Drosophila melanogaster: one gene and its partners. Changing the gene in region 1 together with any one later gene gives a genetic interaction. Each region holds a gene or a part of one and is shown in the gene's direction. Other genes may lie near its edges.

What was found.
Region 2: of Rab9 (region 1) and para, changing one suppresses a phenotype caused by changing the other (phenotypic suppression), as found in Drosophila melanogaster (one study listed by BioGRID).
Region 3: of Rab9 (region 1) and Lrrk, changing one suppresses a phenotype caused by changing the other (phenotypic suppression), as found in Drosophila melanogaster (one study listed by BioGRID).

The regions. Positions count from the first base shown.
Region 1 is NT_033779.5:19,430,993-19,442,118, forward strand, and holds Rab9 (Rab9), read left to right. Parts: upstream 1-1,581; 5' UTR 1,582-1,879; coding exon 1,880-2,071; intron 2,072-3,674; coding exon 3,675-3,869; intron 3,870-3,930; coding exon 3,931-4,314; 3' UTR 4,315-4,849; downstream 4,850-11,126. Other genes in the region: RtcB RNA ligase, read left to right, coding at 1-1,071, 1,132-1,359; CG10237 (uncharacterized protein), read right to left, coding at 5,154-5,641, 5,818-5,971, 6,040-6,134, 6,674-6,853, 9,672-9,729.
Region 2 is NC_004354.4:16,522,192-16,532,773, reverse strand, and holds the start of para (paralytic), read left to right. Parts: upstream 1-5,359; 5' UTR 5,360-5,497; intron 5,498-7,358; exon of another isoform or gene 7,359-7,552; coding exon of another isoform or gene 7,553-9,472; exon of another isoform or gene 9,473-9,807; intron 9,808-10,582. Other genes in the region: Cnx14D (calnexin 14D), read left to right, coding at 7,553-9,472. UniProt on the Drosophila melanogaster protein: Mediates the voltage-dependent sodium ion permeability of excitable membranes.
Region 3 is NT_033777.3:20,633,769-20,643,641, forward strand, and holds the start of Lrrk (Leucine-rich repeat kinase), read left to right. Parts: upstream 1-1,711; 5' UTR 1,712-1,869; coding exon 1,870-1,888; intron 1,889-2,047; coding exon 2,048-2,320; intron 2,321-2,330; exon of another isoform or gene 2,331-2,419; coding exon of another isoform or gene 2,420-2,507; intron 2,508-2,572; coding exon 2,573-2,732; intron 2,733-2,794; coding exon 2,795-4,054; intron 4,055-4,110; coding exon 4,111-5,985; intron 5,986-6,045; coding exon 6,046-6,531; intron 6,532-6,600; coding exon 6,601-6,976; intron 6,977-7,032; coding exon 7,033-8,109; intron 8,110-8,177; coding exon 8,178-8,705; intron 8,706-8,762; coding exon 8,763-9,595; intron 9,596-9,653; coding exon 9,654-9,873.

The DNA.
Region 1 (11,126 bases):
GCGTTGCCGGGCATCGTGGGCAGGTCCATTGGACTGCCCGACATTCATTCCGGCTACGGATTTGCCATCGGGAACATGGCTGCTTTCGACATGAACGATCCGCTGTCCGTTGTAAGTCCCGGCGGCGTGGGTTTCGACATCAACTGTGGCGTGCGTCTGCTGCGCACGAATCTGTACGAGAAGGATGTGCAGCCGGTGAAGGAGCAACTGGCGCAGTCCCTGTTCGATCACATACCCGTGGGTGTGGGCTCCAAGGGCATCATACCCATGAATGCCCGCGATCTGGAGGAGGCCCTCGAAATGGGCATGGACTGGTCGCTGCGCGAGGGATACGTGTGGGCGGAGGACAAGGAGCATTGCGAGGAGTACGGCCGCATGCTGAACGCCGATCCCGCCAAGGTGAGCATGCGGGCCAAGAAGCGAGGGCTGCCCCAGCTGGGCACTCTGGGTGCGGGCAATCACTACGCCGAGATCCAGGTGGTGGACGAAATCTACGACAAGTGGAGCGCCTCCAAGATGGGCATCGAGGAGAAGGGCCAGGTGGTGGTGATGATTCACTCGGGCAGTCGTGGCTTCGGCCACCAGGTCGCTACCGACGCCCTGGTCCAGATGGAGAAGGCCATGAAGCGGGACAAGATCGAGACCAATGACCGGCAGCTGGCCTGCGCCAGGATCAATTCGGTGGAGGGACAGGACTACTTGAAGGCCATGGCGGCGGCTGCGAACTTTGCCTGGGTGAATCGCAGCTCCATGACATTCCTCACCCGTCAAGCGTTTGCCAAGATGTTTAACACCACACCCGATGATCTCGACATGCACGTTATCTATGACGTTTCGCACAATATTGCCAAGGTGGAGAACCACATGGTGGACGGCAAGGAGCGGAAGCTGTTGGTTCACCGGAAGGGCTCCACGCGCGCCTTCCCGCCACACCATCCCCTGATCCCAGTGGACTATCAGCTTACCGGGCAGCCAGTCCTCGTCGGTGGAACCATGGGCACTTGCAGTTACGTGCTAACTGGAACGGAGCAGGGCATGCAGGAGACGTTCGGTAGCACTTGCCACGGAGCGGTGAGTAACCAAATCCCGTTTCTTCCTGTTCGCCAGACTAAAACCTCCTTGAATCTTTAGGGTCGTGCACTATCTCGAGCCAAATCCCGGCGCAATCTGGACTACAAGGATGTGCTGGACAAGCTGGACCAGTTGGGCATCGCCATACGCGTGGCCTCGCCCAAACTGGTCATGGAGGAGGCACCCGAATCTTACAAGGACGTGACCGATGTGGTCGACACCTGTCACGCAGCTGGCATCAGCAAAAAGTGCATCAAGATGCGCCCAATTGCAGTTATCAAGGGCTAAGTCTAATTTATTATTGTGATTAAGTCAATAAACATTTGGTCCGATGGCTGTCAATTTAGTTAATAACGAATTAAAATTTTTATAGAATTTGTTAAGAGGTTTTCGTTTTTTTATTCAAAGTTAACAGTTATGTAGTTAAGCTGTTAAGTGAGCTGTGGTCACCCCACACTGGCGCTCTGTTAACGGCGAGCTTAGCATTATGTTAGGCCAAAGGCCCGGTCTGTTAGTTGTCAGCTGACTGCCAATCCAATTGGACCTGCTGCACGGCGCGAATTTTGATTGAGCTGCCCATTTCGATTTATTTAAACGAAAAAAAACGAATTATATTCGTTGTTAACAACACGCCGTGTGCAATTCTGTATGTGCGCCTGCTAATCGCTCGGGAATCGTGAGTGCAATTAAGCCGAAAACTCACTGCAGCCGGCAGTCAACCAAGCTGCGCAGTAGGAAAAGGCCAAAGAAATCTAGCCACTGCTGTTGCCGCCGGACTTAACTGCAAGAACAAACAAACGCAGGCACTATGACGAACATGCGGCCGCCGCAGAAGTCCAAGCTGCTGAAGGTCGTCATACTGGGCGACGGAGGCGTTGGCAAGTCCGCCCTGCTCACCCGATTCGTCGCCAATCGCTACGAGGAGAACAACTTCCACACCATCGGCGTGGAGTTCATGAACAAGGACATAGTCGTCGACGGGGAGCGCTACACTCTGCAGGTGAAGACTACGACTATGACTATTATGCAATCCAACTACTGACTAGGAGTAATAGTAATACCGATATTGCGGCAAGGCCGTAGAACTTTTGCAATTCTTATGGTGAATGCAACAGTTGGCCAAGCGTATTTCCTTCAAGTGTATTTCACTTAAACACTAACCCCCTCCCCCCCCCCCCAAACGGATCTATCCCACCGTCGCATGGTTGTGCCCGATCCACCGGCATTTTGTTGATGCAAACACTTAGAAACTACACAACGATTAAGCCTTGTTTTCCATTCCCTTACATTCGCGGCACAGTGGAACTTTAGTAAGTTAAACAGGGTAAAAACAGAAGTGCTAACAAATTAAACCATTTAAACAAGGAAACATTGACTATACATTCCTTGAACCATTTGAAACACTCGTATACCAGAGAAAAGTATTATCTTACTGACACGTTTTTGAGTCTTGCATTTGAAATTAAGAAAAAAATATGTGCAATCAATTAATTACGTAGTTTTTTCCACTGTAGCTGTACCTACATTATGGGGGTATCTGTTCCATCTGCCCCATCCCCACTCACACACACACATATATGAACATTAGATTTCTACTCAATTAGCGTTGAGAACGGAATGGCATTGCAGAAACAAAAAACTGAAATAATAACAATAATGACAGTTTCGCCATTCGGCAAACAAGTGAGAGACTTTGTTTCATCCGCCGACGCGGTTTCCCCCGCTCCATCTCATCCGCATCGCAGTTGTTTTCCATTTTCCATTCGGACTGTTGTCTTCAAAAGTATCGAACTAAATGATTTTCACAGTTCGCCAAGCTCGGAAAACTCATGAATATGCAGCGCGTCTCAGTGAGTAAGCAAAATGCAGCCAAGGTGTCGCAAATCGGAATAATAATTCTAATTGGACCAGCAGATACATTATAAAGTAGGAAGTAGCGAATGTGGACTGATTGATATACATATGACTAATCCGACGGGAATCTCGCATAGTTTGCTGGTTCACAGTTCGCTGGGCACAGGAAGAACTTGGCCAAAAGCGGATTTCCCAGTGCTGCAAAAAATCGTGGAATCACTGGGGTGTTTTTTGCACTACCTATATACATATGTACATATGTATGGAGTCACTTAGTTACCATGGGCAGTACTCACACCCTAAAAGGGTTATTCCACCCATGTGTTTGGAGGCCAAAGGTGTTTATATTAGATAAAGAAGTTTAAAGTATCCATTGTTAGAGCTAAAAGTATAACCTCATGTTCGAAAGTATAAAATAAATAAAAGTATAAAATAAATATTTAAAGTATGTATGCTACTCGAAAATTCAGATTCAACGAACTATTTCCTGAGCTAATTGCTTATCACCACCTCGTTATCAGTTCAAAACTAAATATTTAATTAACACACAAGAAATGACAGTAAATGTGTTGATATAAGTGAGTCAGTCAGGCATGCAAACACTCCATAGGTTTTCAAACGGCGAAAGTGTTTGTTTCTCAGTGAGTTTGCTTCTAATCGAATGCAAATTTCAATTGAGCGCCATTTGAATCGCCAATTCAATCAAACTTAATTGATGCATTGCCTTAATTGGAATTTCCCCAAACTAGATATGGGACACCGCTGGCCAGGAGCGATTCCGGGCTCTACGCACCCCGTTCTACAGAGGATCGGACATCTGTCTGCTCTGCTACGCACTCGACGACCGGGACAGCTTGAAGGGATTGGGTGTGTGGCGCAATGAGTTCCTCAACTACGCAGATGTGGACCAGGACAAGTTTCCATTCATCGTGGTGGGAAATAAGGTGAGCCATGCTTGCAGAACGTTCATCTTGAGTTTAAAAGGTTAATTGCTTCCAATTGTAGAACGACATTCCGGCGCAGAAGCGACAGGTGAGCTCCGACGCAGTGCAGCAGTGGTGCGCGGAGCAGAAGGTGGCCTGCCACATCGAGACGTCATCGAAGGCGGCCACCAATGTGACGGATGCGTTCGTCCTTGGCCTTCGCCAGTGGCGGCACATGGAGTGCGTGGCCGAGGCGGAACTGCGCCAGCACGGCGACACCATTGACCTCACCCGCCCCATTCGCCTGGTGCAGCGGCGCATCTGTTGCACAGGCGGAGGAGGCGGTGGCGGCGGCGTAGGGCAGGACGCGGATGGCGATGATGCCGCCATGCACAGTCCGGGCAAGAAAGTGTTCGGCCAGAAGCGCAACGCCAGCAAGGCGCCAGCCACCAATTATCGGCTATGAGCAGACAGACAGGAGCTGTCAGGAAACTTACGCTTAATTTAACCACTCACCCCGCCGGGTTGACCTTCAGATTCAATGCATTCCAGTCCGCGGAGGGGCAGGAGCTTCAGACCGAAAGGCAACCCATCCACCCAATGTTGATGGCTGTAGAGAGTGGATTGCCTCGTTGTGGTTGATATTCTAAGGGAACTATGCTTCACAGCGAGCTAACTATGAGCTAGCTTCTATGTCAAGAATAGGATCTCCATTTTTACTTGCTATGCTTTAATATTATCTTACTAAGTTATTATTTTGTTATGTTACCGTATCGAATATATGCGGTATGAAATACTCTTATAACAATCGTATATAAGCTTTACCATAACCAAGTGTCTTGCTTGAGGAAAGCAAGCTTTAGGTGTCTAATGTACTACGCATAAGGCAATCAGAATGTAATCACTACATTTTTTCCTTATATATTGCATAATTTCGGAGTGCCTTAAGTGTGTTTATCTGATGTGAAAGCTGGGAACAAACGAATAAATATGAATACCGCACGTGTTTGTTTACAAAGTATGTTTATATTTTAACAATTGGTTTAATGTACAATAGTAAAATGATATAAATACGCTTACCCCGGATTAAAATAATATGCATGTAGGTATAACACTTCTTCTGGCTGCGATCGACACTCCGATCCTGGTTAAGACTAAGGCAAACTCTAGGCGCTACTCACTAACAGGACAAGCGTATGGTAGATCGAGTGCTTAACTATAACGCTCCACGTGGGCTTAATGTGAAGACGTGTGGAAACGAGTGGAGTTGATTATCACGAGCAGCACCAGGCCGGTGGCCACAGATCACTTCTTCTTGTAGCCGTACGAGTTGATGGTGTCGAACTCGGTGTCGCACTTGAGCAGCAGCTGGTACCACTGGTCGCTGTCGATGCGGCTGGCCTCCCGGAATCCTCCGTAGGCGGCTGGCAGGCACTTGGGCGACATGTATTTGTGCAGGGACTCGCGATCGGTGCCATGGAAGATGATCCTGCTGCGCAGCTTCTCCTTGAGGAAGGGCTTGAACAGGGCAAAGACCACCTGGAAAATCTTCGGCTGGTTCACGATGTGAATGGCCTTGATCCGGAGCGGCACCGAGTCCTGAAGCCAGTCCACAATGCGCTTGGCGAACGGAGGCGTAAACTGCCACGTTTGCTGGAGACTGAGGCCATCCATGTCGAAGATCACAACGGCTCCGCAGATCTGTGTTTCTGGCTCCAGCATGGCCGCCTCCAGGAAGAGCACAGCTCCCTTGAACACCTCATCGAGGGTGACCTGCTTGTGCTTCCAGCGCTCTGTAATCGGGGATTACGAAAGATTAATACAGGATCTGCTCAATGCTTGGAGCAACTATGAAACTTCAAATGATAGGAAAACCTGCATCTTAACTAAAATAAACTTTACTCTGAAGATCGAGATCTTTGCACTCAAAAGCTAATATATTGAAGTATCCTTCTTTCAGTGTACTTACTGCCCAGTTCGAGGACCAAAATGCGACGACCCAGTTGATCTCGGTTGGGGAAGACGGTAAGGATGTTGTGCTTGAAGATGTTGGCCTCGTTCGATGGCTTCAGGTCGGTGTACACATCCGCGTGCTTCACCTTGAAGGCGTAGTACCGCTTAATCTGTTCCATATTCAGAATATATACAATTAGTAACACAGCTGGAAACTGGGTTGCCACACTAGACTCACCAGATCACGGGCACTTTCCGGGTAATACTTGCAGGGCCGCAGGTATCTGATCAGCCACTCCTCGTTTCCCTTGGGGTACAGCAAGTCCGTCTCCGCTGGAAGCATATCGCAAATATTAATCGACCTCACCTTCAATAGTCTTAATTCTAAAAAGTCACTAAACCACTGGCATTAAGTTTATCCAGCAATTAAAAGGCAATCGTAATTTGTAACAATAGTTACGAATCTTATGCAACGAAATCCTCTCGAGGGCGCGCTGCTTTTAGCCCCAACTTGTTATTAGTGACACGAAGTCGCCAACTAATGATATAGAACTATTCGTTCGAACTTGGTGTACAAATGGATTTTCAATTCCCAACAATCGGGTAAATTATTAGATGCAGGCTAAGTACGAAGTTTATGGCTTAAGTTTTATTAACTCAAGTTTTTATCAGCTTTTGGAGATCCCTCGGATATAAATTATGAAAATAGCTTAGCAAAATGCATATTGTATGATCTCAGTTCAGATATATGTATATACTTTAAACAGATGTAATGCAGTTTCAATGACTTTCATCATGTGAGTTTTAACTCATGTAGTTAATGTATAATTATATTGATTCAAAGTAAAACTCCATTTCTGATCACGACTCACCTTCTAGAAGACGGGCCAGCTCCTTGGAGGCCTCCTTCTGGCGCTCGGGTGTTTCGCGCAGCTCCTTGATGGCCACCTCCTTGCCCTGGGCAGTCGGCTCGCCCAACTCGAACTGGAGCGTGTAGTCGCCCACCTGGAGCGTGGGCAGTTGGTCGATGTCCGACAGCATGGTGGGTACTCCTGGAAGGGAAGCAGTTGGGGTTCGGTTAGCGACAGCTTCTGTACTTTGAGCTGGGGCTGCGGGTTTCACACTGAGAGCACTGGGAACTTTGGCCAACTAAATAACTTGAGCTAACTGACATCGATTGCCAATTAGTTGTCATACTTCACAATTACTACTTACTCATTTTGCAATTGTTGCTGCTCTGGCTGAACTGAAATTATTCTGCGATTATATTAAGCTATGTGCTTTTTCTAAGCGGTTCGCCGCTGTATATTTTCAGTTTGCCAAATGTAAAATTGTGCCCTCTATTTATAAGAAGAAAAAAGCGTAGAGATTTCAATTTATTAGCGAGACACAAGTGACTCGGAACCGGCTCAACTGCATCGAGTTTCTAGACTTTCCCGCCAGTCAATGCGATGATCGTCTAAACATATCCATATATGTATTCATTTATTTATTAATCACCTGGCCGACCTTCACCTTGACATTCGCAAATTGCTTAAAACGGAAGAAGAGGCCAGAGATTCGCGAAGATAATGCAATTCTTCAGAGATCAGAAAATAACGTTAGGAGCCTTGAACTAAATTCTGGAGACACTTGACGCGTTCTACTTGAGCGTAATTTCCAGTTAGGCAGGTTTCGAATTGCGAGATGAGGAGCCAGGGTCTGTGAGCTTATATAGTGGGGCAGTTGGATATCAGAAATTAGCACACTAGATTTCCCATCAAATCGGAAATTAGCGCTGAAGATTTCCCATCAAATCGAAAATTAGCGTTAGTGCTGGCTCGAAACAAAAGACTAGGAGATTAGCATCCGAAGCGCTGACATTGAAAATTGCTACCAATTTCGGCTAGATGGGCCAGGTGATTTGCTTAGGGTATCGTCTGTTTTTGCATTCATGAATGATACACAAGAGTCTACTGAATCGCTGATGTTGTGTCTGGGAAAATACGAGATCTTAAATAGTACACACGGATCACAACACAACACAAGACAACACAACACGACCGAAACTAGTTTGGCCCAAACTTAAAGGCTATAATGGTATAATGGCTAACAGTATTCCGCAAAGACGGCCCAAAAAACCAGCTGCGAGTGACGCGTGCAACGGAGCTGAAAGCCCAGATGAAACTGTTGCGGCCAAAAGCGCGAGTCGAGATTTTATGCCAGGCCAAGAATTAAAACTGGAATTGTGAGCGGAGCGGCATGAGAGTGGGTGTCGCCGATCGAGACGCCAGTGCTGCCAAGTGGGTTTGTTTCCCGACAGTAACTACTTCTGCTATAAGGGGGTCTTTTAACTATAGTTGTTTAATGCTTTAATGCACCAAAATGAAGTAGTTTCAACATAATAAGCTTCTACTGAAACATATATTTTCTTGCTTGCTTGCACTAGTGATGGGGAATAACTATATAATGCTATTATATGAAACAAGTTGTGCACCCATTAAGTGATCATCACCAGCTGAATCTGAACTTGAGCATGACATTCACGTGCCTCGCAAGAGCGTGGAGTTGCTAGATGGAGAGACACATGGAGTTTGCCCAGGGAGAGCGAGCAAGCTTTACTGGGTCTGGGGTGCATCGTCATTGGGAAATGATGCCACCGCCACCTCAAGCCGGTTTCAGTTTCGCTTTCAACTTGGACTTGCCTAATTTATTCGGGTTTTCTTCGGGTAATCGCCCACAGTACTATTGGGCTCTTGAAAATCCCTTGGCATAGGCATTTCCCATCGCGACCCTGAAGCCCCGTGCCCGTGCATAGCCATCCGGTTTCAATGCTGCCCAGCTACACGCCAATTAGTGCTTACACCTGTTCGGCGTACCTACACCTGGGGTCACCCCACTAGCAATTTGTTGGAGACCACAAACATTGGACACTTGAAAGCATCTTCAACTATTTATAGATCATAGTTATAGATCATAAGATCGCATCTAATGACACCGCATCACCATGTCATATCATATGTCCCTATTTTCTCAGCCCCATGTGTTAAGCCAGGCATATTTGGTATAATTAACACGTCCCAAAGCCGAGCACCCTCTGCGTTGTGGACAGCAAATGGTTCCCGCCCGGTTTTGGACAAATCGGTTCAATCGCACGATCGCACGTGCGAAGACTTCGGCCATTCATGGATACGGATTTACGTTGCGATGATACTCTCGATTTCATTACGGCCAGTTTCGGTCATTTGGTCAATTTTTATTGGCCATCTCGAAGCGGATGCTGACGAAAACTGGGTGGTACAAAGCTGCGAGTATATGGAAAAAACTTGAAGCGAGTAATATGAGTAATTCTGGGGTTACGACCCATTGCAATGTCAACCTTCGCCCTTCGGTTTTTTCTTTGCAAAAAGCGTGTTAAAAACCCTGCATGAGAAACCTGCTTTTGAAGAACGTGACAATGGCGGTTCAAAAGCAAAAGTGCTTTGACCTTACTCAAGAGATGGAAAAAGTACAAGTCGGTAGATATTACTGACATCGAACAAATGGATTGTTACATGAATACTCGCTTGATGTCCAAACAATTTAGATGGCATATCAAAAGGCATTGCAAAAAGTGTTGTTTTTTTTAAATTATTTATATTTTGAATACCTTTTAAATACTCTTTCTCGAACTAATCGTGACTTTCAATTACCAGCACAACTGTATATAAGTTTTTAACAAACTGGTGTATAGTTTTTCGAGCAACTGTAGCCACGCGCCTTATATAAATACATACGTACGTATATAGAAAATAATTCTATTTGAGGGAGATAATTCTAAGAAAATGCATATAGTACTTGCAATAAATATACGATAAAAAATGGGGTTCGGCAGATTTCGCTATTGCTCACCAAGTGGGAATTCAGAGGGCAGGCACCTCATCGCAGATGCAGTGGTCAGCATGGTCATGGCGATGCAGATCGAATGAATACACACACAAGTTACTTTACAACTAACTAAACCGGTATGCACATGCAAATGCTAGCGTATGTAAATAAATTAATATTTCTTTATTCAGGCTGATCGAGTCGGGAGCATCGGCGGTGGCTAAATGGGTCAATGTCGTCGGCGAGTTACTGAACTTTGTCTGAAATTCTCGAGCGACGAGTGCGAAAGGGGGGAATGCATGCAACAGTAATGAGCAAAAGGCAATGCAAAAAACACGGACAGACAGTGATGCCTCGTAAATAAGGGCTGAGCGTAGCTACATAGTGATAGTGATGGTGATCTGGCTAAGATATTTTTATGGTCCCTAGCGCTACACACTCAGAAATGCACTCTTAAAAAGAAAAGCACTCTATATGTATATATATATACAAATGTATATATGAGATCCAATTACTCACCTTGTTTGAATTGAAAATCGGCTAATCCACAAATAGTTGGCTGGTACAGTGGAAATCCTTCGGAACTCCCGTTCGACTCCGATATATGTACCTAGTGAGCTTGGGTCGCGTTTGAAGACTGAAAATACAAAGCTGCTTGTCAAATCGTTTTATAGCCGCCCCTTTTATGCACTGCGTGCATTGCACATATGTATTGTACGACAAAGTTATAGTTATCAAGATATATACATAGGTCGGTCGGAATAGTCGGGCACTCGTAAGGCCAGCGCGACTTAATAGGTCATTATAAGCGACCGATTCGAGTTAAGAGCTCTAAAGATCACGTCGCGAATCGCCGCATGGGATCTTCTTTTTTTTTTTTGGCTTGTTTTGCATAAGTTCACCTGAAAATGGTTCACTGAGCTCAGCATTAATTTTATGTTATTTCCATTGTTTTTAGTACGTTAAAGTGCCAAGACAAGTGCGGTATTTCTCACGGTGCAGCGCACTCAATCGATTTTCCACAGCAATTAACATTATTAAATATAATGTTGCAGAAGGTACACTGAAAGTAAGTGAGTACTACAAAATTCAAGAACTTTCTTCACTTTGTGTGCACTTTTAGAAATGTTCTTGACTTAAAACAATATAGTTATTATTATTATTATTGAAAAAATCCGTACTTTCTATCAGGAAATCCACTTTGCTATATTTTGTAACTATATACACTTTGTAACTTGTACTGTTTAGCACTTTCGAGAAATTCTCATCTGCCACTTGCGAAAAGTCCACTTCCTATATTTGTTCTAGAATGTAAACGAAGGAATATTTTCATTTCTCGTCGCAAAATACGAAATTTTTAAGTTAGCTATATAGCATCGGGGCACTTTCGCAATCGCGGCACAGCTTTATATATGTATATATATTTATATTAAGTGCGTGTTCTGAGCGTTTCGCACAGTGTATCGTGGTTAATCTTCT
Region 2 (10,582 bases), on another chromosome or scaffold:
TCCAGATATATACATACATATATTAATATATATATATATGTATATATATATATATGTATAAATATATAAATGCCTTGAGCTGTGCGCAGGCAGGCGATTCAGCGAGGAGCCAATTCGAAAGAAAGTTTTACATAAGTTCTCCCTCCTCAAATCAGGCACCTTTTTTTTGCATAGTTTTTTTTTCCGTGAGTGTGACCCAAAAAACCAAAATAATCAAAGAGAAGCGAAAGGCAGCAAGAGGAAGAATACGAGAAACCAGCAGCCAGCCAGCAGGAAAACACAAAAGTCCAAAAAAATAAACTACTCATTTGGCTGCATTGGCGAATTAAAAAGAAAAGATACAAAGTGGCATATAGGAAGACGGCGAGTGTGTGTGTTAAGTGTGTGAAAGCAGCGTGATCTCTGGAATTAGCTTGAAAAACCATCTTCTTTTTTTCACTCCTAATATTCGGTTAAGTTTTTTTTTTTTTAATTGTGCAAAAGCGCGTGTTAGCCATGGCGTATACTTGATGTGGCCGCAACCAGCAACGATTGCGTATACGCCTAGTGCGCCTCTCTGTGTCTCGTGCCTGTTCTTTGTGTGTGTGTGTGTTTGCGAGTGTGTGCTTGTGTGCGTCACACACAACGTGTTACGCAGAGTAACCCCCCGAACCGCCGCTCGTACCCATCGCCTTTGCCGTTGAAAACTTTTGGTTTGTTGTTTAGAGTAAAGTGCCCGGAAAAGTAGGCAACGAAAATGGTTACAACAAATTGCAGGGCACACACGCACACACAGACAGGGCCAACCAACTCGCACACACACATTGATTTGGGATAGAAGAAGCAGAAGCAGCTAAAGTCGACTATGTGTGTGCCGCGGACTTTCGATTTTTCGTGACTCGGTCGGTTTTCTTGTATATGTTCTCGAGTGTCCTTTGTTGTTGCTCCTTTGCTTGTTGTTGCTGTTGGCGATGTCGCCCCCTTTACTGTCCCCCCCCACTCCCCGCTACCACGGTTTGAACTCCACTCCGTGTGGATTTCGCCTGCTGTTTAGGTTATGTGTATCTGGCATGTCCTTTTTGCCTGCCTTTTCCTTTTTGGAGCGCGCATATGCGCTAGCACGAAACGAAACGAAACTCAACACAACACAACACAATTCAACTTAACTCGCCCCGAAAATCAACAGAGAGAGAGGATTCGGTGGGGGGGGGAGGCGTTATCGGTGTATGTGTGTGTATGTGTGTGTGAGAGTGTGGGGCAACTCAGTCAGTCAGTCAGTCAGTCAGTTGGGCGCCTTGCTAACTGGGTAGAGCCAAAGGATCCCCTCTTGCTTTTGCTTTTGCTTTGCCTCTGCTTTTGCTTTTCCCTTGCTTTTGCTGTGCTTTTTTGTTCGATTCGATTCGAGTCGCGCGTGTGCCATATCGCGTTTCGTTTTCGTGCTGTGCGCAAAAAGAGCCGAGCTCCAAAAGACTTGGGGTCTGAGGATTGGGGATTGGGTACTGGGTACTGGGGACTGGGTTTTTGGGTACTGCTTACCGGGTTCCGAAGAACTCAGGACGAGGCCACGAGGAGCCCTCCGAAGAGAGCAGGATATGCAAGAGAGCGCAGAAAGCGACGATGTGAGCGAGATTGGCGTAAAAGGGACAAGGGTGTCTCAAATTGCCTTGGCTTAGCTCACAAAAAATTGAACCAAAAAAAAAAAAAAATGCGAACAAAAATACGAAATTGTGCAACGCTATTGAAGTTTGAAGTTGATTTCTAATGAAAAATATAGCCATTCCATACGTGTACATGCATTAAAACAAGCTGTATGCAGGACATGGCGGTTAATTGCCAGAAAAGCGAATAATTGGAATTGTTCATATTTGATTCAACAACAGACATTTATAACAGTTATTGTCACGAAAGCGCTTTCATGATTGTGGAAATCGTGTAGTCGAATTCAAAGCTTATTACTGACAATTGCGTTCAGAGAATATTTCAGTGCCGTGCAAATCCCTAAAGAATTGAGGTTAGATAGCAGATAATAATGGTTTAATTTGCATATTAAGCAATTTTAAGCCAGATTATGTTAGTAACATCATTTATTTTACTTGCTTTCTTAGATCAAGCAACTTAGGTACTGTCAAAATTGTTTAAACATTTATGGGTGCCACATTACAACGAAGGATTCATTTTTTATGTGCCTCTTGCCGAGAACTTGCAAGGACCTCGTCGAAACCGAAAGGACACGCAATTGTGGCCCAGAATCGAAAGCGAAAACTTTCCCTTCCTTGGCCAAAATCTATAAACTTTCGTTTATAAAACGCACTAGCTGTCATTCGTGTGCGATTGTGTGGCTTTCGTGTGGCTATTTGGCTATTTGTGTTGCTTTCGCGACTTCTGGTCGCTATAGAAAACCAAAAAGCTGAAAATATAGTGAAATGGCATGGGGAACACCCGTTAAAGAAAGTACCGATGTGTTAAGACCAGTCCAAATGGGTGTTACAATAACTTTGCGGCTCGTCCAATGCCCAGCGGGTTAGGCCGGTGCCATTCGGCCAACAGCCTGCCACCAGCCTTCCATCGTGCTCACCAGCTTGTCCCGGGGCGAAGGCTCCGCAGGACCCCCATACCATTGCATCCCATGGAGAGGGACGGAAGCCCAGCCGGAGCACCACCAGTCACCAAATGGCAGTCGCAGTTCAATCTGCCCCTGGGTTGTGCGTGTTCAATTGGCTTCCAGCCCCATTGTTGTTCTTTGCTCGCCCTTTGCCTGTTGTTGGCTTTTGGTGTAAAAAATTTACATAACCCAAATTGATGCATAAATAAATTATTAAATACGTGACGTGCAAATGGTCAAAAGACCAAGCTAGCAGCCATCGAGCAGCAAACGCAAGTCGAATAGCATGTGTGCAAGGCTCTGGCCTTTGGCTTCCATTGTGCGAATCCCAAGGGCTTGCAATCAGGACGCAATCCAATAAGGAGATTGTGCTCTCGGTAATATTGCCATCCATATGCGACCTGCGACAAATGTCTTATGTTACGCGAAGATCCTCACTGCGAATTCAATTAGGAGCAAGGCCAAGGTTCATGATCCAAACGAATTCCAAATCATTGGCTCCCATTATGGATGAAACTGTGATAAATAAACATTAGTCCCAAAGAGAAATTGGCAATTTAAAGGTTTCTAAGTACGCTATTGAGTACAACTATTGAGTGCCAGGAAATGATAAGTCCAAACTTATAGTATTACACACTTAAGAATGAAGTCAATTAGGTTAAATTTATAGCAAGCTTAAACGCTTCGAAAACAGTTTCCTGATTTAAAAGCATTATTACTCAAACTCCCACAAAAGCTGCGCGCTTTGGTGACCCCAATCCAGTTAAGACACACACACACACACACACAGTTAAACTCCATTGTTTTCAATTTGTTTATACATATGTATGTACTTGTCCATTTGTAAGGACATTAGGAACGCAGTTCCTTAATGTGTGCAAATGGGTGGGCTGACTGGTGACTTGGTGACTTGGTGACCCCGCCACCGCTGGGTTAGATAAAGTTCGGATAGGATCGATTGGTCGGTGTCCAAGATGGGGGGCCCCGAAAAGCGGGTCAGCATGATTTGCGATTATAGCTGATGCTCCATATTCTCGGGCCACATTAGTTATGAACGCAGTCGGACTTGACTTGACCAGTCCAACTGGTGCCAAACGCCCAAAAATAATGACCCACTGTTGCAATTTTCGGGCAGAGCAGAGCCGTGGAATATCAGCTTGATGACCTAAAAATAGAACAAGTGACCAAAGACAAATAAAAAAATGAGAGTCGGCGATGGCGAATAGTATGTGGCAAATGGCGGAGAATAGCGAAGGGCGAAAGGATAAGCAGCGAAAAACAGGGTGGCAAAGTAGCACAACAAAACCTGTGTTGACAACGACTTGGGTGGTTATATATGGCAAATGCTTTAGGGCGAAAAGGACTTCTCACACACACACAAACACACACACGCGCGAACTGCTTCTGCTCCTTTTCGCGGCAAATTCGGATAAAAGGAAGTCACGGCGAAACGGCGGACAACTGCCTGGTTCGCCCGAAAACGGAGTTACCCAGAGAGGAGGAACTTTTTCAGTGCTCAGTGCTCGACTTTTTTCCGCATCCTTGTGTCCTTTTTCAATACTGCTCTGCGTTTCACGTGCGCGCGAAAATTGCATAAACACAAACAAGCCGCGACTCGCTGCCTCGACATTTTTTTTTACAGTGCATCCAATCCAGTGAGACATTATCCTGCCAATTGAGTGCTCATTTTACGTTTTTTTTTTCGTGTGTCTAAGTGAAAGCCATCAAGTGTGTGAATACAATTTACAAGCCCATTTTAAATATCTATTGAAGAAATATAACAAGTTTAGTAGAAGGAATCAAATAAACTAACGACATAATTCACATAATTGGCACAAGGACAGCAGAAAATCTAACATATAAAAAGAAATAAATATTAAAAAAAATAATTTCAAGCCATTCAAACAATACTAGGGGGTGCTTTTAGTGGGCCATACAAATTATTCGAAATTTTTTCTTCCGATAATATTTTTTTCAATTTTTTTTACATTTCTGTCACCTTTTGTGAATGAGTTTTCCCATCAAATTTTCCAATTTAAGCTGGGTTTCAACAACTTGTTCGCTTTTCCGCAGGCGACGCTGACGAAATTGAAACTAAAACCGAAATAAAATCTGCAAATAATAATAATAATACTATTAGTCATAATACGGAAAACCAATTATAATCATAGCAACAGTTGAGAAACCAAGCCGAGGCAAACTCATTTAAATATCCCAGCCAGGTAGCCAGATACTAGTAGAAATAATACAACAAATAATATTAACATTAACTATAAATAATAAATTGAAACAGCTCTGGGAACAAAACGCAACGTTTGATGAAAATTTCTGGCAACACGTCTTGGTTGTTGTTAAGCACGCAAAAAAATTAAATAAAAAAACCAATTCAAATACCCAATGATAATGCAGATTTAACAAACAAAACCAAAACAAATAAAAGCAAACAAAAATACAAATATAAAAAAAAAACCAAACAAAAAAACCAAAAAACAAAACAAACAACAAATTCATCTTCTACTTGTTCTACCGCTTCAACTTTATTCGTCTTCGTCTCCGTAATATATATATATATATAAAATATACATATATATATATTTATATATATATATATCTATGTATATGTATGCATATGTGTGTGAGTGCGTCGCGTGTGTGTTGGTGCCTGTAAATGTGTGAGCCACAACAACAACAACTACAACAACAGCAGCAGCAGCCAGAGCCACAACCACAACAACAACAACAGTAGTTAACAGCAGCAACAATTCTTAGCAGCAGCAGCAACAACAACAATACAAGCAAGCACGCTCACAACAAAAGCAGCAACAGCAACAACAACCACAATAGCAACTACAGCAACAACAACATCAGCGGATAGAGCGAGCAGCCAGGCACAACATCGATAGACATCGATTAACGGTAGGTAATCGAAGGCAATCGAAAAAATCCATTTAATATGTATTTTATTATCACATTCATTGCACTTTTAATTATGCTAATGATATTTAACCCTAAACAGAGGAAAAAAAATCGTGAAATTTTTTATTTGTTGAGTTTCAACTATTTCCGATACCTTGAATGATTTATTCTTAAGACTAAACGATCTTTCGAGTCTAAAAGAACCACTTTTATGATGAATTCTTACAATTAACACATAGTGGAAATGTATTGAAAATAATTATGTTATCTATGTTAGAGCAAACAGGCTAACAATGTGTTATATTAGAAATTCTCAGCTCTTACTTAACTTACTTCTCAGCTCAAAACAAAGTCATTAATTTACTTTTCATTTTGGTCAAAGAGAACTACATTTTACTGGGTCAATGGTTCAACTTTCATTGAAAGTTTTTAAGAAACCCACATTTGGTATTCCCATCGATTGCAATTTTAATATAGAATACCAAAAAGGGCAATTTACGCTGCACGTCAAATGAGAATTTAGAAAGCAATTGTGTCTTTCGTATGTATTTCAATATTTGAATAGCTAGAAAAGTGTGAACGGAGCAGTGGGCGACTTGATGAACTTGGCTCGATTATGTCATGCCTCCTTGGTGAAAATCCCAGTTAACCAGGCCCGACCTCAAGACCATATCAATGGGGTATCTGCGCCCCTTTTTGTCCCGCCCACTGGCACGCCCCTTTGCTTTTGGGCTACAACCTTTTGCTGGCTTTTGGAGGGCAAACTTTCAGCTGCCACAAAAAAAAAAAAAGAACAGAGCAGAGCAGAGCAGAAAAAAATGAATGATGAAGGTTGAGGGGGGGGGGTGTTTCTAACGGAATTCCTTTGCTCACGCACACATTGAAAGGAGGTTCGTTAAGAGAGAAGGGAACCCAAAAATGTATTGTTGTAGTCCGTGTTTGTTGGCGGCATCACACAGAGAAGTGAGAGCGCAAGAGAGAGGGCACTGGCTCTCTCGGCGCAGGCAGGAGGAGAGTGAGAGTCCTCGCTCTCTCGCCAGCCCATTGCGCTCTCCCATGCAAAATTCATTGACTAACAACATGCTAACTTCGTTCAGTTTTTTGCTGTTTCTGTTTGTTTTTTTTTTTAGTTTTTTAGTCCTTTCCTTGCCATCGAATTTTGTTCAACAATTAATAGGGTAGCAGATATTCTGTGTTATATTGCCAAATCGATACCTTGGGTTGGCTAAGGAAAACGTTTTGCGTTTCGCTCATGTGTTTGTCATGTGTCATTTGCATATTGACACAAATTCCGGCTCGGGTTGTTTTTTATTTCAATTCTTGTTTGCGGTTTTTCGCATGACTCATCGACCCAGCGAATGGCCAAAAATTAATTCGGCAAACAGAATTTTGCGAGTGTCATGAATGGAAACAGACACACATAAATATATGCTCATATTGGCACATCCACTGCCACTCTGTGTGTGTGTGAGAACGCTACCCTATGCTTCATGCCTCCGTGTGTGTGTGAGTGTGGCGAAATATCGAACTGACCTACTTTTATGCTCGATACACACACACACACACACACGCACACACACTGGCGCGCTCACACATACACACACGCAGCCAGATTGGCAAATGGAAAAAGAGTGCTTTGACCTTAGCGGAGGCTGCTTATGTAAGCCCAATATCCGAAGACCGCAGGAACATCCGTAACCGAATCTAGATTCAATTCTCACATTTTCTGTAGTAGCGGTAGAAGGTAGTGTTAGACCGTTTCAAATAAATGAAGTGCTTATAATATTATCTACATTTTAAAAATCATAATCGTATTACCTATTACTAAGCTATCTATGTAAGTCAAATCCAAAATTTATACAAACAAGCAAGCGGCGTCAATAAAGTCATACGCATTAAGGCTCAGTTCAGTCAAGTCAACCACTTTTCACAAAAAATCGTTAAAAATCGTTAATTTCTTCGAACGTCGCTATATTAAAAAAACGCAAGGCTCAATTCAGTCAATCCTTATCTATTCCAACTCTGAGTAAGCGAGCAAGCGAAAAGTGTGTGAAAATGGCTTGGAAAATGCTCTTCGCCATTTTGTTGCTGCTGAGTGCGGCCAAAACCGGCTATTTGGCCCCGGAGTCGGAAAACTCTGTGGAGGATGTGCAGATAGAGCCCGGCGCCATCTATGGCGATGAGAAGTTTGCCTACAAGAGTCCGGTGATCGATGCCGAAAAGTTTTACTTTGCGGATCACTTCGACGACGTGGAGGCATCCCGAAAGAGATGGGTACTGTCGCAGGCCAAGAAGAACGACATCGCCGATGAGATAGCCAAATACGATGGCATCTGGAACTGGGAGTCTCCGCAACGCATCTTTTGGGCAAACGATCTGGGTCTGGTGCTCAAGTCGAAGGCCAAGCATGCGGCCATAGCCGCCCCCTTTCGCCAGCCGTTCGATTTCAAGTCGAACAAGCCGCTGGTGGTGCAGTACGAGCTTACGTTGCAGGAGGGTCAGGACTGTGGCGGCTCGTATCTGAAGCTTTTGTCCGCCGGAAAAGGCACGGAGCAACTAAATCGCTTCAATGACAAGACACCCTATACCATCATGTTTGGTCCGGACAAGTGCGGCAACAATTTGAAAATGCACTTTATATTCCGGCACGTCAATCCATTAAATGGCAACATCACCGAAAAGCACTGCAAAAAGCCAAATGCCCGTTTGGGAGTGCCATTCACGGACAAGCTACCCCATCTCTACCAGCTGGTGGTCCGTCCCGATAACAGCTTTGAGATTCGCTTAGACCACAAGATCATCAAAGAGGGTTCCCTGCTGACCGACTTTGTGCCACCAGTCAACCCACCGGCGGAGATAGATGACCCCAATGACCACAAGCCAGAATCGTGGGATGAGCGGAAGAAGATCCCAGACCCCAATGCCCACAAGCCCGAGGATTGGGACGAGGATGCTCCACCACATCTGCCCGATACCGATGCCGTCATGCCAAATGGCTGGCTAGAGGATGAGCCCGACATGATTTTCGATCCAACTGCCATCGAACCCGAAGATTGGAATTCCGAAATCGATGGCGAGTGGGAGGCTCCTCTGGTGGAGAACCCAGTGTGCAAGAAGGCCCCCGGCTGTGGCAAGTGGAAGGCTCCGCTCATCCCCAATCCCAACTACAAGGGCAAGTGGAGTGCACCAATGATCGAGAACCCCAACAACCAGGGCAAGTGGGCTCCCAGGAAGATAGCCAATCCAGACTTCTTTGAGGATCTGAAGCCCTTCCAAATGACGCCAATCAACGCTGTGGGTCTGGAGCTGTGGTCCATGTCCAGCGATATTCTCTTCGATAACCTGATCATCACGGACGATGTGGAGTTGGCCCGTGACTTTGCTGCCAACAGCTTCGACATCAAGCGTCTCTACATCGATCGTGAATCATTCGGGAATAAGGTAGTCGAGCTAGCTAGGGCCAATCGAGCGATCTGGGGCATTGTCATAGTGGCCATTGCGGTGCCGGTTGCCATTACCATCTTCTGTAAATTTGGTTTAGGCCCGAGTAGGGTTGCGGCTGCCAAAAAAGCTGCTGCTGCCGCGGCCAAGAAGACCGACGATCCTCAGCCCGATGATGACCTGGGGGCCGAGGAGGAGGAAAAGTTGGAGAAGGGGAAGAAGGAGGAGGAAAAGAAGGAGGAGGAGGAGGAGGAGGAGAAGGAGGAGAATAAGGAGGAAAAGAAGGAGGAGGAGAAGGATGACGAGAAGGAGATGAAGGATTGCGAGGAGGAGGAGGATGACGAGGAGAAGGATGACGAGGAGAAGACCGACGAAAGGGCCGCTGGTGATACCAACAAGGAAAGCACACCGCTGTCCGCTAGTCCCAAGAAGAACCAAAAGTCTTATTTAGATAATAACGAAGATGAGGAAGACACATTAAAGAACAAGGAACCTACCCCAAAAAAAAGGAAGCGTAAAGCACTCAAGGAGTAAGCGGGCATCCGTAGTCACTGCAACTCTAAATAAGAAACTAAATCGAATTCCAAGATCCAACTGTTGCAGAGCACCAACAACCAAATGATCAAGCAAACGTAGATTTTAAACATGTTCTAATTTCGCCAAAAGAGCCGACATCTCGATCAAACTACACACACACACACACTATCCCACAAACACACAGACACTATTTCACAAACACACACACACACTCTCCCACACACACACACTCTCCCACACACACACACACACTCTCCCACACATACACACACACACATACACATAACACATCCAAATCCAAATAAAATCGGATTAAAAAAAAAGAATTGGGTGTGAAAGGGAAAATTGTTTGAAGACGGAAAAACAAGCAAATTTCCGCGATCTTTTCGCTGGTGGTAGCATACTTTTCTGGGCTGCTGCTGAGAATCCTTGGCAGCAACTCAAGAAATCGCAGGGATTCCGACTGCAAGAAGCAGTCGCAGTACACTGGAAAACGTGGTTCTGGCGATCCAATGATGTTACTTTACTTTACTTAACACGTGAGCATAGGGTAACGTGCGATATGCCCCAAGGATCAGTATTCGGGCAACTGCTGTGGAACGCCATGTACGATGGTGTGCTGAGGTGGCCACTGCCAGAAAGAACCAAGGTGATTGGTTTCGCGGGCGTTATTGCCTTCGCTGAGTGCCTTGGTAATGCATCTAATTGCACCATATACTTACTTATATTATCAAACATAAAATTTATACGAACAAGTAAGGGTCATAAGTAAATTCATAAGCATGAATTGAGCCTTTAAGTTAATCTTTATTTTTCCCAACTCCCCGTTTAAAAATCGTACGTATTTTAAATTCTTCGTACGTCGCTGTATCCAAAAGAACGCAAGTATGTGTGTGCGTGCTGGCATTTATTGATTGGCCATTGTTTTTGTTTGTTGCATTTTACTTTTTTGATTGCATTTCATTTGACGCGAATCGCCGCCTGCGGTAATCCAATTAGTCAGCTGTTGAGGTTTCGACATCGACTCTCTACCGCGGGATCAATGCACTAGCTTTAAGTCTCCTCATTTACTCCATACCATAACTAACTTTAATAGAGCAACACTAA
Region 3 (9,873 bases), on another chromosome or scaffold:
ATATGTACCGATAATTGTTTTGGTGTCGAATTACGGAAATTACTAAAAATCAACCGCCCACCCGTTGATAAGAAGGCGACCCCTTCCCTTGGCTTTGCCCTCGAGATGATCAGAGATCTGGATAACATCCATTGATGCACTGTAAAACTGAGTTGGTTCTAACCGCCCTTTACCACATGGGATAAAATAGAAAAGCAGCCTCTAAAATCGTCGGTTCTTGTTAATTAAAACAAAAACGCTGACTTTTATTTAGTATGAATCACACAGTCATAAGTTGTTGGCTGGGGGTGGGAGGGGTCAACTTGAAAACAAAAACAAGAATTCAGGGTCAGCCAAGGCGACCTATGAATGCCCTTACGTGTTTTTTTTTGCAATTTTAGGCAGTTGAATGACTGAAGTAAGCAGGATTTATAACGAATTCGATATGGCCGTTGAAAGAAAAGTTTCCATAATGAAAATCTAAGCCATTAAGGCATATTTCAGAGCCAAATGTTCAAATTCCGTGACCGAACGGGTGGAGTTGATACCGCGGAAAGGGTATAAAAAAGTTACGCGGCACCGATGTCTCATCTCTAAGTCGCGATGCCACAAAAATGGAAATTGCAGACAGTCAGAAAAGTCTTGAAAAGCACACGGATTGGCAAGTTTTCATCGAAGTTTCACTTGCATTGTGGCGCAGCTCGTTTGTTTTTGTTTTTTGCTTCCATTTTGGCCAGCCCTCGCCTTTATAGCGATTTTTTTTTGGGTGTGAGCTGCGCAGTTTACGCTGCTCCTTACTTGATTCTCTGCACCGGCACCTTCAGTTGGCCTCTGTCGGCCATTCCGCGGTATTGTTATTTTTCAAACGCACCGTGCAATCGGCTCAAATTTGTGTTCGATTAAGGAATATTAAATTGTTTTTATTTGTATTGTTGAGATCGTGCTGTTAAGCGTCTGTTAACGAACACAGGGTGACTCCTGTTGAACACAGGGCGTTCTAGGCTGGCGCTGGTTAATATCGATAGTGTTTCATTCGATTGTTATATCGATATAGGTTACAGTTGGCATCAGTATTTATAAAATATACACAAATACACGGTGCTAATAAATTCTTGTTCGTAAACAGTCATAACAGGAAATTGCATGTTAAAAAAAAAATAAATAAAAATAATTAACAGTTCCTAAGAATCAAATTCTTTTAGATAAAATCATAGCATACAAAATAAAATTCAACAAAAAGTAACAGTCGATAGTGATTCACTGCTTAACTGATTTAAATAATATCGATATTACTGTTGTTGAGTTGACAAGCAGTGCAAAGTAACAGAAACGATGACCACCTTATCGCGTTTTGGTATTTATATATGTATGCTATCAGAAATGAGATATTTCAGCATCAGTTGGGATTTCAAATATTTCACTTGGGAACAAATTTTTAGATGTGTATGAATAAAAATAATAAATGCGTCTTCCAAATACTTGTTCGGCCTTGTTAAATTAATTTTAATTTATAAATTTAAGCCAATGGACATAAAAATCAATGATTTTGGGTAGATTATGATTTAGTTATTAAGCTGGCTTTAATCTTTGGAGAAAAGTACGAAGCCCCCTGCGTGCGACACTGATTAACAGCATTCACTTGCGATATTTCGGTCACACAGAGCGCTTAACAGCATATCGTGCCAAAATGAGGAGATATATTCTAAAACAGTAAGAGGTTACACTGTTTGTTGACAAAAAGGTAAACAAAGTGAAAATTTCGCAAAATGTGCAAAATAATTAAGTAAGGGTCAGTAAAAGGTGCTACTGGTTAATCGGACCATAACAACTACCCATTTAACACATACCATGCATGACTTGGATATCTCGTGAAGTACACAAACCAAAACAATGAGCGACTCCGACGAAGGTGAGATAACACAACTTTTAGTGAAATTATGCACAATATGCTAGTTTTGCGCAAATTTAGTCAGAGTGCAAATGAGCATTATACGCTTGACTATGCAAATTACCTAAGTGGTGCAATTAAAACTTCAACCAGTTGTTATTGGTTTTTCAACAACACCAGCAAGGGCACAGGGTGACATTGGTGCAATGGAAGTGGGCGCGCAAAAACTTTTTTCAAACAGCCACCCCCCACAGAAGCAACTGGTGCAACCACTGGACCATCCGACACCCACGAAGAGACAAATCAAAACAAATGCCACGCACTCACCCAATGCCACATTCTTGAACAAGTGCAACAGTTGCCGCGCTTCTTGGGCTCCGACTTGCGCAGTGCGACATAAAACGGCCTGGATCAATGACCACAAAAACGTGGCCATCGATTTTCCGCAGTTCAGTTTTTGCTAGCGGCGCGTTCGGTCATCATACCGATGCCAATTAATTTTTGGGGCTTATTCGCACCGATTTGGGTTACATAATGTCATGGAAATTCAGCATGGAACATCCCAAAACTGGAACTGAAACAGCTCTGGAAGCCTGTGACTACTTCGTGGATGAGGTCATTGAGGCATCCTCAATACGGGGTGGGAATTGGTTTATTCCAAAGGTGCTGTGTATTAGTTAACCAAGCAAAACTTATCTTTCACAGATGCCCGCGAGGAAGTGCGTCAGATCAAGCACGGGGAGCTGCGAACGGCAGTGATCTCTGGCGATGAGCGGACTGTGCGGGTGCTGCTGGCAGCTCTTGGAACTGAGCGTCAGATTATAGTCAATATGGCTCCTTCAGGAGCAAACACCCTTCTATTCCTGTGAGAAAAAGTCTTTTAGAATTAGTCCATTTTGAGCCAAACTAATATCGGTCTCGTTTTAGAGCCTGCCAGTCTGGTTACGAGAGCATTACACAGCGATTGCTGGATGCTGGAGCGGATGGTCGCTCCCATGCCGTGACCAAGTACTCACCCTTGTACGCCGCCGTCCATAGCGGTCACTTGGGCATTGCCCGACTGATGCTAGACCATTTTCCAGAACTGATCCAGCAGCCGACTGTAGAGCGCTGGCTGCCGCTGCACGCCGCCTGCATCAATGGACACATCAAGCTGCTGGAACTCCTTATCAGCTACAGTTATCCCGACTACCTCTACCAGACATATCGCGACGAGGAGGGCCAGTGGGAATGGCGGCTCCCCTTCGACGCTAACGCTCATGATGTGACGGGTCAGACGAGTCTGTATATTGCCAGCATCCTAGGAAACAAGCAGCTGGTTGGTGTGCTTCTAAAGTGGCAGCTCCATTGCCGGCGTACGTTGGGCGATTCCGCCAGCTCGGTGAGCACTCCTATTACGCCCACCAGGAAACGTATTTCATTTGGCATTCAGGCTATCATGTCCAAACTGCACATATCTGGAGAGTCAGAAGGACCCGACGACCTAGCTTCACAAGAGTCAACCGAGTGCCAACGGTGTCCCATTAACGTGAATCTGCTATGTGGAGCGGCGAGAGAAACAGCTCTGCTTGCGGCCGTTCGAGGCGGCCACCTAGACGTGGTGCAGTCTCTGCTACAGCACGGCGCAAATCCGAATATTGTAGCCAAGCCAGTTGAGGATCACAACGACCCGAAATGTTGCGAGGAAATATATGGGCTCAGTAATGTCCCCATTGCAGAGGCCTGCAAGCAAAGGTCGCTGGCTATGTTGGATCTCTTGCTTAAGCATGGAGCCCGCGACGATAATGGCACGGCCATTGGAATGGCTATTACATGCGGCGACGAGGCCATCCTGAGTCGTCTTTTGGCCCGACGAGTCCATCCGGACTCAGACTACAAGATCAACAAGAAGGGTCTTCCCACACCAGTGGAGGTGAACGTGTTTTTGCCGTCCACCAGCAACATATCTTACAGTGCTATGTTCCCCAACAATCCAACCATTATTGACTGGCACAGCATGGGCTCCAGTGTCCAGTTGTCTGTTGTAAGGGTTCCCTGGATGGTCAGCGGTGTGTTGCTGCTGAATCCTAAGCTACAGTCGCATCCGCGACTTAATGAGGTTGCTCTGACAGCTATCACGCGAATAGATTTCTCGCACAACGTTCTCACGTCAATTCCACAGGAGCTTTTCCATTTGGTTAGCCTAAGGTTAGTAAAGACAAAGTAATAAGTTTTTCAAGAATTATATTAGTCCTTCATTTAAGGTATTTAAATGTGGCGCAAAACAAGATAACCGATCTACCTGCACCAATAGGCCAGACATATGGGTGTCCGGTACTGGATGAACTCTTTCTACAAGACAACCAGTTAACTACGCTGCCAGCCGCCATCTTTCACCTGCCCGCCCTATCTATATTGGATGTTTCAAATAACAAACTGCAACAGCTTCCCTTCGACCTGTGGCGTGCACCCAAGTTGCGCGAACTTAATGTGGCCTTCAACCTATTGCGGGATCTTCCTGTGCCGCCAATGCAAACTAGCAGTTCGCTGCTGAGCCTAGACAAATTGAATCTGCAATCTTTTGAGGAGCCGCCATCAAACAAACCGCGAAATGTGACTCAGCAACGTCTCACCCATCGCAATCTATGGTCGGCTACTTTGGACATAACCGATAATGACATGAAGTGGCAGCATGAACAAGATTTAGGCGATGGAAAGACAGCTGGTGTGGGCTCCTCCCAGCTAAGTAGCTTAAATATAGCAAATAACCTCTTCACCAGTATCCCCGCTGCTTTGCCCTGTCTGGCTGTAAACCTAACACGGCTGAATATGTCATACAACAGTCTGCGTTCTATGGGACATGTAACCAGTTACCCGGCAACACTTAAGCAGTTGGATCTAAGTCACAACGAGATATCCTGCTGGCCAAGTTTACCGCGAATTACTGAATCGGATCCGCATCTACTGTGCTACAGTTGTGTCCAGCTACCAGAGGGTCGAGATGACGACTACAAGACGGCCTCCTCAAAGGGCAGTAGCTCGTCTGCCACATCGTTTCGCGCTTCGGTGTTAAAAAGTGTTTGTCGGCACAGGCGTCATCTGCGCCTGGAGGCTCTACGCACATTGATCTTGGCTGACAATCTGCTTACGCGCATCCAACTATCAACTGATGACGCCACAACCCTTTTCAATGAAAGTGAGGACGCCGATTGGAGTGTGGTAGGCGTGAACCGGTCTAAGGTGATATTTCCCAACCTGTCTATGCTGGATATGACCAACAATTGCCTGAAGGAGATTCCCGCCTCGTTGCACGAACTGAGCAGTCTGTCAGTGCTGAATATTAGTGGCAACGTCAACATCACGGAACTGCCGCCGCACTTGGGACTGCTGTCGAGACTTTGGAATCTTAATACGCGCGGTTGCCTACTGCAGGAGCCACTGCGCTCTATGATCGAGAGCAAGAAGCACAAGACGATGGACATTGTTGGATATCTTAAATCTATTTACGAAGATGCTCAGCCCTACGCACGGATGAAACTGATGGTGGTTGGTGTGGCTGGAATTGGCAAGAGCACTCTGCTGGACTTACTGCGCCAGGGGGCGGGCTCAGGGTCCAGCTCCAGCTCTCATCGATCGCGCGCCAGCGAAAATCATTGGGCCAAGCGAATGGGACACGCACGCAGCACATCTCGATCTCATCGCCATTCGTCGGCTTCTAGCGCAAACATTTCTACAGTAGGAGTGGACATTGGAACATGGATATGTGAGAAACGAAAGCGAGCACCCGGCTCCCACGGCCCAGTGGTGTTTCGTACTTGGGATTTTGGTGGTCAGAAGGAGTACTACGCCACACATCAGTACTTTTTGTCCAAACGGAGTCTGTATTTGGTGCTCTGGCGCATTAGCGACGGTCACAAGGGTCTGGCGGAGTTGCTGCAGTGGCTTGGCAACATTCAAGCGAGGGCTCCCAACTCCCCCGTAATCATTGTGGGCACACACTTTGATGCCGTTGGTGAATCCATCTCGCCCCAAAAGGCAGAGCAACTGCAGCAATTGATTCGGGAGAAGTTTATCGCCATTCCCGATGCGGAAAAAATTGGGCTGCCACGGGTGATTGATTCCATCGAAATAAGTTGCCGGTAAGTTTTTGAATTATTAATATGACTTCAAAGTCTAAAAAATACCGCTTTGAACTTTAGGACCCTACACAATATCCACTTATTGGCCAACATTATTTACGACACCGCCATGCAACTGCGATCCCCTGGTTCCAAGGAGCCCATGCTACTGCAAAAGATCCCCGCCAGCTACATTGCCTTGGAGGATATTGTGAATGTGATTGCATGCAATCTGCGCGCTGCTGGGCGAGATCCCGTCCTGGATGGTGAACAATATAAGCGCTTGGTCACCGAACAGATGAGATTGCACAACTACAAGAGCTTCCGGGATGCCGCTGAGCTGCAGCAGGCCACTACATGGTGCCACGAAAATGGAGTTTTATTGCACTATGATGATGCTACGCTAAGGGACTACTACTTTCTCGATCCACAGTGGCTTTGCGACATGCTGGCCCATGTGGTCACCGTGCGGGAGATCAACCCCTTTGCTCCTACGGGCGTGATGAAGCTGGATGATCTCCAGATGTTGTTCCGAAGTGTGCAGGTTCAAGGAAATGGAAACAGAAGGTATTTAAATGAGTGTGCATAACTATGTGGTAAAGTATTTTTGTATTAATTAAAATTTCTTTCTTTAAGCTACATTGTCAGTCTACTTAACAAGTTTGAGGTTGCTTTAACGTGGGATTCGAGAACTCTACTCATACCCTCCTTACTGCCTTCGCAGGAGGCAGCTACACCCAATTCAGGAAGCACGGTTAAGCTATCGCAACGATCTCGCGGCCGTAGTTTGGGTTGCTCTGTATCGCAAGAAGTAAATCTAAATAATTTGATATACGAACAGAGGTCAGCTCCTTCTTCATCATCTTCCTCTGCATCGGTTAGCCAAGGCTTGCGGCGCATCCTATTGATGACTTATTTCCCGTCCGGGTTTTGGTCAAGATTAATCACCCGGATTTTAGCTGATGAACAAATAATCGAAGCAATTCGTGGCGTTTATATGGCTTCACAAGATGTAAGTGGAACATCTTTTACGAAGCCTAAGTTCTAGGTACAATCTTTATTTTCTAGTACGCGGACTTTGATCTACGCACATCGTTGGAGCAGGACACCCAATGGAATCTTTGGCAGACAGGCTTAGCACTGTACTATGGACCTATCTTAATATTCAAGATCTGGGAAGTACCCTTTCAGAAGACAGAGCGAACGCAACCTTTCCGCACTGATGGCAACCGATTTAAGCTGAAACAAGATGGTATCTGGAGCGATGTAAATCTCAGCTCCTCTAGCATTTTGGAAGTTTACTTTCCACTCTATGAAGTGAACATATCGCAAGAAGTGGATGACAATGAACGTCAATTGCTGGCCGAGATTCGTCCGCACATGTCTCAGGTGGCCAAGCTTTTGGCCCTAACAGTGGATCATATTGACTTGCTTTTGGAGGATTGGTATCCTTCATTGGGAACGCGGTTTGTGCACACTTCCGAGGGTCGATTCCTAATCACTCGATTGGTGTTGTGTCCGCGATGTCTTTGGAAGTTGCAGCTGCAGCAGAACAACGAACCGTCTGATCGGGAAGTGCCTCCAGTGGGTTGCAATCGACCAAGTCGAAGTAGTAGGCGTGGAGCGGGAGCATACTTTCTCCACGGTGTAGGTGATCCCGGAGAGGATGGTGCTTTAAACGTGTTCTCGGCCTATTTAAACGCCACAGCAAGGAGAGAACGCCGATCGGAGGATTCTTTGGGTGCTGGATCCGACGCGGACTCGGGCGTGGGTCCCGACTCAGCCGGTTCTTCGCGCAACACTTCAGTTGATGGTCATCCCGGATATCACTTGCCTGATAACTCAAATGTGTGTTATGCTTGGATGATTGAGGAGTGCATTTTGTCCGTTTATAATCAAAGCAAGATTAGTTGCCCTGTTCATCTTGAACAGTCTATGGCTCAGCTTGCGCCAGACGTAATCTTTGCCGATATTCCTGATAAGCACACTATTCCAAGCGAGTGCATCATCAAGGGATCGTTGCTTGGTCGAGGTGCTTTTGGGTTCGTTTTTAAAGCAAATTGCAAGGTAAGGGGCGCCAGATCCTTTAAGCCGGTGGCAATGAAAATGCTTCAGCCAGTGCCTCCCGGAGCTCGTGCAAAAGAGGTGAGTACTATAAATTAACAAATGTACTGAAATGAATAGTAATTTGTTCTTTAATCATTCTATTTTAGAGCGCTTTGATGGCTTTCAAGGTAGCTGTAGGCAAATGGGACCGGGATCCACTGCAGCACTCTTGCAAGGCCTACTGCACTGCGCGTCAGGAATTGGCAGTACTTCTAACTCTCAAGCATCCAAACATTGTACCCTTGGTCGGGATCTGCATTAAACCATTAGCTCTGGTTCTGGAACTAGCTCCTCTAGGCGGTTTGGACGCTTTGCTCCGGCATTACCGACGCAGCGGAGCCCACATGGGACCGCATACTTTCCAGACCCTTGTCCTGCAGGCGGCTCGAGCAATCGAGTATTTGCATCGCAGAAGAATCATCTACCGCGATCTAAAGTCTGAAAATGTCTTGGTTTGGGAGCTTCCACAACCACACACGGAAGACAGTCCCCGCAACCTTGTGCACATAAAGATTGCCGACTACGGAATTAGCCGGCAAACTGCTCCAAGTGGAGCTAAAGGATTTGGTGGCACCGAGGGTTTTATGGCTCCGGAGATCATACGCTACAATGGTGAGGAGGAATATACTGAAAAGGTATGTTTATTTATTTACTTCTCATAAATCATATGGCTTATCGATTCTTCTTGTCAGGTGGACTGCTTCTCATTTGGAATGTTCATATATGAGAATATCAGTTTACGACAACCTTTCGAAGGCCACGAGTCTATTAAAGAGTGCATCTTGGAGGGTAGTCGCCCGGCTTTGACTCAAAGGGAAACCCAGTTTCCCACCTGCTGTTTGGATCTTATGGTCTTGTGTTGGCACGAACAGCCTCGTCGCAGACCGACGGCAAGTCAGATTGTTTCCATACTAAGTGCACCGGAGTGCATCCACCTCCTGGATGTCGTTGCCATGCCGCATAGCGAGAAGATTGTCTGTGGGGTTTTTCAGTCGCTTGTTGGTATGGGCGATGATGAACGATGTGGTCTTGAACTGTGGCTACCCTCCTTCGGCTCTCGCATTGACATTCTAGACTGCTCACCCTCGGGCAGCCTACTGCAGTGCAACAGCATCAGTTGTTCTCCGCAGCCACAGGTTGCTCCGCCCAAGACACCCGAAAACGGTGCAAATTCACGTGCCCGCTCTGCCCAACGTTTGCCCAAGATGAACATGTTGTGCTGCTGCCTGGTGGGTGAAGCCATCTGGATGGGCGACGTTTCCGGCAATCTGCACGCCTATAGCACATCCACCTATGCCCACCTGTTTTCCTACATGCTCGATCCCAACATTAAGTCAGCTGTGATCAGTCTAGTCTACATGGAGAAAATAGCTCGCGTGGCTGTCGGAACGCATAACGGTCGGGTGTTCCTTGTTGACGCCACGCAGATGCCCAGCAATTGCGCATTTGCCGAGGGCTCTTTTGTGCTTACAGAGATCTGTTCTGGTTTTGTGTTGCACGCCGCTTGTTCCGTTGTTGTGGATGGGTAAGCTGACAAATCTATAACCAAATATTTACTTAAATCTATATTGTGCTTTGTGTAGAATCTATGAATTGTGGTGCGGCGAAATTGCAGGAAAGATAAATGTTTTTCCGTTGAACGAGAATGGAGTTTCCGGACATCAGGCTTTATGCCACAGCGAGGAACCCAATCTCATCGAGGACGTCAAGGTGGCTCGAATGTGCAGTAATGAAAGCCATGTGTTCAGTTGTCTATATCCCGGTTGTATGGTGTACCAGTGGGATGTTATCTCCAAGCGGATA